2 linked regions of the Drosophila melanogaster genome follow. The protein of the gene in region 2 purifies or fractionates together with the protein of the main gene of each other region. This does not show direct contact. Each region holds a gene or a part of one and is shown on either strand. Other genes may lie near its edges.

What was found.
Region 1: the proteins of knrl (region 2) and CG5953 purify together in Drosophila melanogaster (affinity purification with mass spectrometry, with the first as the bait; one large-scale study listed by BioGRID). This does not show direct contact.

Annotation. Positions count from the first base shown.
Region 1 is NT_033779.5:16,531,162-16,534,919, forward strand, and holds the start of CG5953 (uncharacterized protein), read right to left. Parts: upstream 1,717-3,758; 5' UTR 1,560-1,716; exon of another isoform or gene 1,298-1,559; intron 1-1,297.
Region 2 is NT_037436.4:20,618,464-20,622,221, reverse strand, and holds the start of knrl (knirps-like), read left to right. Parts: upstream 1-1,562; 5' UTR 1,563-2,480; intron 2,481-3,758.

The DNA.
Region 1 (3,758 bases), on a different chromosome or scaffold from region 2:
TCTTGTCTTTTTTTCAAGTGATTTTCCAATTATTTTCCGTTGTAGCTTTAAGCTGGAAATACTCTAAATGCCATTTTGGCTGTTTTTTTTTTGTTTTTTCCTTGCATTTCGTTTGCGACCTCGTGGTATTTTTAAGTAGCACAGTTTTGAGGGATTTTCTTGGAATTCTGCGGTCTTATATTTGTACTCTTGTTGTTTACTGATTGTGAATAGTAGAATTTGGGTTTTTCTGCGTTCAAAATTAATTTGCATGTCTCGAAGCTTTGATTTGTTATTTGATTACCAAGAAAATGTGCGACTGTATGGAGAATTTATCAGGAATTTCTAAATGTCACCGTTTTTATTGTCTTGTAATGTGAGTCAGGACGGAAATGCTTAGGTTGCCATTTTATTGGATGTTTATTTATAAATAAGGTGTGTTGTTCATAACTTCTTGATTTTACTTTAATTGTTTCTGAACTTTGCTGAATTTCTGTAGTGTAGTGTGTTTGCTTCGGATTTTAATATTGAGAGTTATATAATCTAATTGATCTTAAAACGAAGCATTTTGATTGCACAGATTTTTTGATACTTCACGCTTTATTTGACTGATTTCTTCGACCATTTTGAATTCATTTAACAGCGCTGCCGAAATAAAGGTCTGAATCAGAAAACGTTGAATTTGCATAAAATCCATGTTATCCACAATTTAGTTTGTTTTCGCCTTTTGTCATTTTGAATAAAGAAGAAACTCAGGGAGAGAAACACAACACAGGCCAAAACAAATTAAACAACGCAAAAAGTAAACAACATCCAACGCGAAATTGAGCACAGAAACTTAAAAATACATTTCAAGGCGGGCGGAATGAAATAAAAAACAATTTACAATCGAACGCAGACACACTCGCGAACGCACATGCTATATGTGTTTTGAAATAAATTTGAAAAACACTTTTTGTTAAATATTTGTTGACTTATTAGGGGTGTTTCTTTCTTTATTAAACCAACATAAATATTTGTTTTCGAAGCTGCACAAGGTTTTCCAGGGGTTTCAACATATTTGATGTATTTCGATACATGGTTTTTATTTAAAAAATATTTTTGAAAATATTTTTAAAGTTTAAGTTTCACAATGATTACTTGATTTTTCCATTCGTAAACAATTATTTTTGTCTCACAATTTGAAAGTAGGTTTCTTATATTTTAGGTAACATCCATACTTAAATTTTTTTTAAATTTTTAAGTACATATGTGATGTTTTCATTAATATTTAATTGATACGTTTACACAGTTTTGAACTACATTCATTTTTATGCACCTTTATTTTAATTATGCCCTTTAAAAGAATTATGCTGATAATAACTTAATTGCGTACATTACAGTTTTCGCCGCTTTTCTAAAAAAGGGAATAATATTTCACACTGATATTCCCGTCCATAAATACCGTTTGAATTAGAAAATAATTCGATATTTTTGGTTTCTGCTATCACTTCTCCGTTATTTGTTTGGCAAGCAAAAAGGAGGCTCTGACGAAAACAAACATCCTTCACGCAAAAAACACACGTACTGTCGATATTTACCGCTATTTCAAAGGCGCTGTTGCGCTTTTACGGCTCCGTATTTTTCCCGTTACGCGCGCAATATTTCATCGAAACAACTACAGCTTTACCGTTAATTACAACCGCTCGCGAGTACCGGATTTCGTCGACTGTTCGGGCAAACAGTCGCAAACCTATTGGCATCGATTTGTAAACGCACCGACTGCGCTGCCGACGCAGAAGAAGAAGCAGAGGCAGAGTAAACAGTTGTTTCGTGGAAAAACAAAACGAACATCGTAATGAAGTTCTCTTTGGCCTGTTGTGAAATTCTACAGTGCCTTGTCATGCTTAAGGCAACAACAACGTCGGTTGAGGGTGGGTGGGGGGTTAAGAGAGCGGCGGAGAGAGTTATTGCGGGAGAGAGAGAGAGCAGTGCAGTGCGCGCCAAAAAAAAACATTGGCAGACATACAGGAGCGGCTAAGAAAATAGTATTTACCTAAGCTTTTGCTCTCTTTGCCAAAACAGTTGTTGCCATAAAAATACAAAAATTACAAAAACTTAATTAAATTGTCTGTTATTAAATGAACAACTCCGTTTACTTAAATGTTTGGTAATCTTTCTCATCACGTAAGTGATATATATTTGATGTGCATCATGCGTGCTTTTCTTTGTTACCTCTGCTGTGTGAAGGCTGACTGCGGCGCAGCGTTGACGTCGACAGCGCAGTTGTTTTGATAAAGAGCAAAAGAAACACGACAGCAACAACAACAACAAAAGGGGGGGGGATAGGATGGGATGAATGGTCGGTTGGTGAGGGGGTGTCGGCTGGAGAGGGGGAGGGGTGGCGGACCGCTTCTTGGGCCGCACACACATACAACGACACGCGCGCAGCCGAGTCAAACAAACAAATAAAATGTGAAGCAGAAATGGCAAAAAATTAAACAAACAAGTAGACAGGAGCGGTTCAGTGAAAAAAACGAGTTGAACGAACCGAGGTCGAGACAAAATAACAAAAATAACAATAAAAAGCCATAATCACAATCTGCTTCGCGCCAAAATGACACGAAATGTCTACTACGTCGTAGTAAAATTCCTAAGACCCAAAAAAATTAAACAAAAGAAAGTTCAATGAATGCGGTCTTACTTCATAATAGAATTGTGATTTTTATTACTAAAATCGCTGAGTTATTTATTAAATAATTTTATGAATGTGAGATTTGACCCAATTCGTAAAAGTATTATTATAAAAAATAATTATAATTATACCTATTTAATAATATGTACGTGTACGTGTGTATGCAAAGTAAGTAATTTTCATAAAAACATAGCTTTAAAAATATTCCAGAACTCTATTTCTATTTTAGATACTACCTTGTTAATACTGTCTGTGCACTCAAATGGATTTTCTGAAAACTTATTAATAATAGAAATGCAAAGCTCTAAGTCTTCTCTTTTCTCCGCACTTCATAAGTTCGAAATATTTCCTGCTTTTCTATTTCACTGCCTTTCTTGTGTTTCTGTTTCGGTTTCTATTTATTTTTGTTTAGTTTTGTTTGCTCGTTAGCCGAGTGGGCGGTACATTGGGGGCAGGTGCTCTCCCACTTCTATCTCTGTCTCTCTCTCTCTCTCCCCCCACTACGTATTTCTCTCCAAATGTATCTCGCTCGCTCTACTTGCTTGTTTGTTTGTTTTTCGTGGCGTGTTTTGGTGTTGTTATTGTGCTTGGTGCGTAGTTTTTACGTTCGTCATCGTTCGCCTGGTATTTCCGTCTTCTGCCGGCATCGCTGCTCACGCTCTGCCGCAGCGCTGACTAAATGGTTTGCCTTGAGTTGTTGTTGTTGTAGTTGCACTATATATTTGTGTTTCTTTTTGCGCGCAAACGGATTGCACTTTTGCACAGCAAAAATAAATTCATATAATATTCATCATTTGACATACATATGTAATTCTTTTTTGACGACGGTTCTTAAATGTAACAGAATTACATAAATACAGTAAACATCTTTTTTTGATACATGTTAGAGAATGAAGCTGAGATTAGTTGTTCAAGCGTATTGCACCAATTTTTTTCTGGTTTTTTGTGTAAAAAAAATATATACATATATAATAAAAAAATAATTATTAAAAATAATAAATAACAAGCACCAATTTGATTACATACATATTTTATTATAAACACAATTAAATTACTTACACAAATTGTTGAGTTTTGTTTTATCTGTTTTTAATTTATATTTTTC
Region 2 (3,758 bases):
ACTCGAGTCTTACGTACTCCCCTCTCTTTCGGAGACACTTAGTCCCTCTCATTCGCACTTTCAGTCGAGATCGCTGGAAGTGGGCAATGTTCGATGGACTTTTGTTGAGTTCAGGGGAGGTGGGTGGTGGGTTAAAACTCCCCGATCGATAGACCACGCCCACTGGCAAGCCGCTAATACGATTTCGATGGATGCGTCTGTGTGAGTGATCGCTCTCATTGATCGCTCTCGTTTGCATGGGTAGCTCTCAGCCAGCTGCTCTGCATTGGTCAGCGAAACGAGAACATATATGCCGGGTATATAACTCGCCCGATGCACGGGAGATGGCCTTATAGTCCGGTCTCGTTTTCGCCCACGGCAAACGGGATCGGCTCGTTTATCTAAAACACCCGACGACGACTGCAGCACGATCCCGTTTTGCGCTGGTGTTAGTGGATTCCGCTCTCATGAGCACGCCGCTCTCTTTACCGGTTGTCTGTGTGAGTATACTGGATATAACGGTGCTCCGATTGTGTTAATCGAGCCAATCAAATGTGGTAACGAATTCTTCGAGTAGATATATTCACGAGAGTGTGTGCCCTGTGAGTGAAGCACTCAAAAGCCGCACAAAATGGTGAGCGATTGAGAAAAACAATCGAGTGCAATATTCAAAGTGAGCAACTGGAAAAATAATGATGTATTTGGAGGCAAATATTGTATATTGTATTGTATCTTATTTTTTTGAACTAATCAAGTATGTTATATTGTTAATTTACTATATACCACATTTGATCAGCTTGCCATAAATATTCCCCAGTTATATAACATTGGACACTAAATCAACAAAACTATGTTCCTTAACAATCGTTAAATTTATTAAATTATATTATATTTATCTAACGAATAAAATTGATTATAAATAAAGTAGAAAAAAGAAAAAGGAAATACTTAAGATTGGTCAAATTAAACAACACGCTAAATAGACTTAGATTACATCTTAAACGACTTATATTTGTTCGCAGTTACTAGGAATTTATTATTATATCTTAACCGAGAAATAAACTGTGCAATTTATATATATATTGCAAACACGACATGCATTTTTTTCTAAATTTGTTGGTGCCTTTTCTATAGTTATAGTTCGTATTTATGTTAGTAATTATACGTTTTTAATATATGTTCATATGCATTTACTCAGTTTCAGCTTGATCTGTGAATACAACTCAATAGCCGAATCGACTCGGATTTGAGTTAACATCACTCAAACAGCGGCTCACACAGACAGGCAATTTGAGTCAAAGTCGCTCTTTTAAGTCTCACTCTCGCTCTCTCTCTCCCTGGTTGTCTTTCGGTTGGGGGTTGAGAGTTCGGGTGTATCACCGTTAGAGAGAATCGGAATCGTCTTCTTCCTCACACACACAATCGCACCCCAGCTGGGCTCGAGTTTGTCGCTTTTGCAGTCTTTTGTTTTTGTTTCGGTTTCTGTTACTGCTTCTTCGACCAGTTTGTAGTTTTTGTTTATAGTAGTATCATCTCCCCGGCCAGAGATATTGTTGTTGCTACTTCTCTGGTAGCCGAAGTCTCAGCTCAGTGTGCTACCGAGCGTTCGTCGGATGATATTGCAAAGCATCTGAGTCGCCGAGTCGCAGCGGTGTGAGCACTTTGCAGAACTGCTTAACATCAGTCTTTAGTGATAGCTCGCGCTTCTTGCTCGCACGCTCGATCGCACGTCGCCGTCGTCGTTGCGTCGTCTTCGTCTTACGTCCCAGGCGTTACGTTGTTTTGGCCGCCGCTAAAAATCAACACATGCAAATTAAGATCAAAAAATTACTCAGTTAAATAAAATGAATTGTAACAATACTACGAATATGTATATGTAGTGCCAACTGAAATAGTAGAGTTCAGTCTGTAACACGTCACTGCAAAAAAACTCAAAAGCGGCAAACGAAAGCGGAAATAAAGAAATTTACGGCAAGTGCGCGTGCGCAGCCAGGAGTGCCCTCACACAAAGGTGTGGTCACTCCATAAAAACTCGCATTCAAAACACAGAAGGCGTAAAAACAGCACCAAATAAAGTCCCACGGAAATATCTCTAGCTAAATTAAAATTTAACCATACTGCAAAACTTTAAAACTTTGTATTACAATAAAAATTATACAAAATATTGCCTCCTTGTGATATATGTACACCCTGCTATATGCAAAAACACACATACTCAAACAACCCAAAAGATATATATTAAACATGCTTCACGCTCGCCTAAAGTTCTAAAAGTCAAGTGCAATTTGAGCAAAAACAGCAACAACTCTATACGCTCAAGTGACGTTTTATTGGCGCAAGGTGAACAAAAAATAATAGCAAGCAAATACACGAAAATACACAAAACCTTAAACGGAAAGTTCACAATGTTAGGAGACGCAGACCTTAAGTGCGCAACGAAATAGAAACACTAAGCAAATAAATTGGATTAACTTGATAGGCTGATCGGTCAGTAAAAGCAGGTAAGTTCAAAGGTTCAATGGCGCCCTCAAAAAAAAATATAGAAGAAACGGAACGAACGGGCTTTTTTGAGACACATCCATCATGCGGACATAAAAATGGGGATAGAGATGGGGCTTCGGAGTTGTAGATGGGGAACATGTGAATTTCATTAACGAATAGAATTCATAAAACAAAAAAAATCAAGATGAAGATGGCGACGCCAGATAACGCTTGACAATCCGACTAACTGACGAACTGTCTACGACTGTCGGCGGGGTTTGTATGATTTAATTATACAAACCATATACACACTCCCCTATATGACACTTATACGACAGCCCAGTAGGAGCTATAGCCCCCAGCTACGGTTTTGTGAGAAAGTTTTCTCTGGCCGATCTTTGTTGACCAGTGCACTTTTTAGTGTGGCCATAAAACATGGCTAGATCAACAACAACAACCATGCAAGGGCAAGGCAAATAAACTTTACGACTATATAACAGAATCAATGTAAGTCAAGTGCGAGCGAGATGGCCTGCACAGATATAGTCGCCGCACATGTTTGCTTTATAATGCAAATAGCGTGTATAGCTTTATTTGCCAGAATATTTGTTACAAAAATTCGAAAACGCAGGCGAAATCCATGGGAATGGCATTAACTGCGGCACTGAAAGAAATTATTGCGCTCAATAGCGAAGGAACTAAATGGAAAGTGGTGCTGCCTAATCCATCAAGGATCAAAAATAATTATTTTGATAAAATAATTCTTAGAATATTCAAGCTGGAAATTTGTGAACATTTTAGTTTGCTTGATGCTGCAGCTTAAATAATAATTTATATAATATTCTATTGATCAATGAGAAATGCCTATCATCTAACTATATTTACAAAGAAGTGACTTTTCAATTAGAAATAAAGTGATCATTCATTTTTGGAAATTCAGAAGATTTGTATCTAAAAAACTGATAATTTTTTAAAGTGCATTTTGCCCTGACTCGCTTGCAGGCAAATGAAGAATCTAACTTGGATTGCTTTTGCATGTGTCGCAAATATTGGCAGAACCTATATACTCGCACTTATGGCGAGTGCCTTGTAAGTTTGCCATGTTCTACAAATCGCAGAGTGCGCACTTATTCTAGTTAGCTGGGGCAATCTTCTTCACTGGTTGATTTAGCTGGCACCTTTTAAGATCACAGCTCTTTCCTGAGGCTGTTCCTTAGACCAACACTCTAAAAAAAGGTATGCACCTAATGCAAAATTGGATATTTGGATATTATTATATTACACTGAAGTCCCAACGA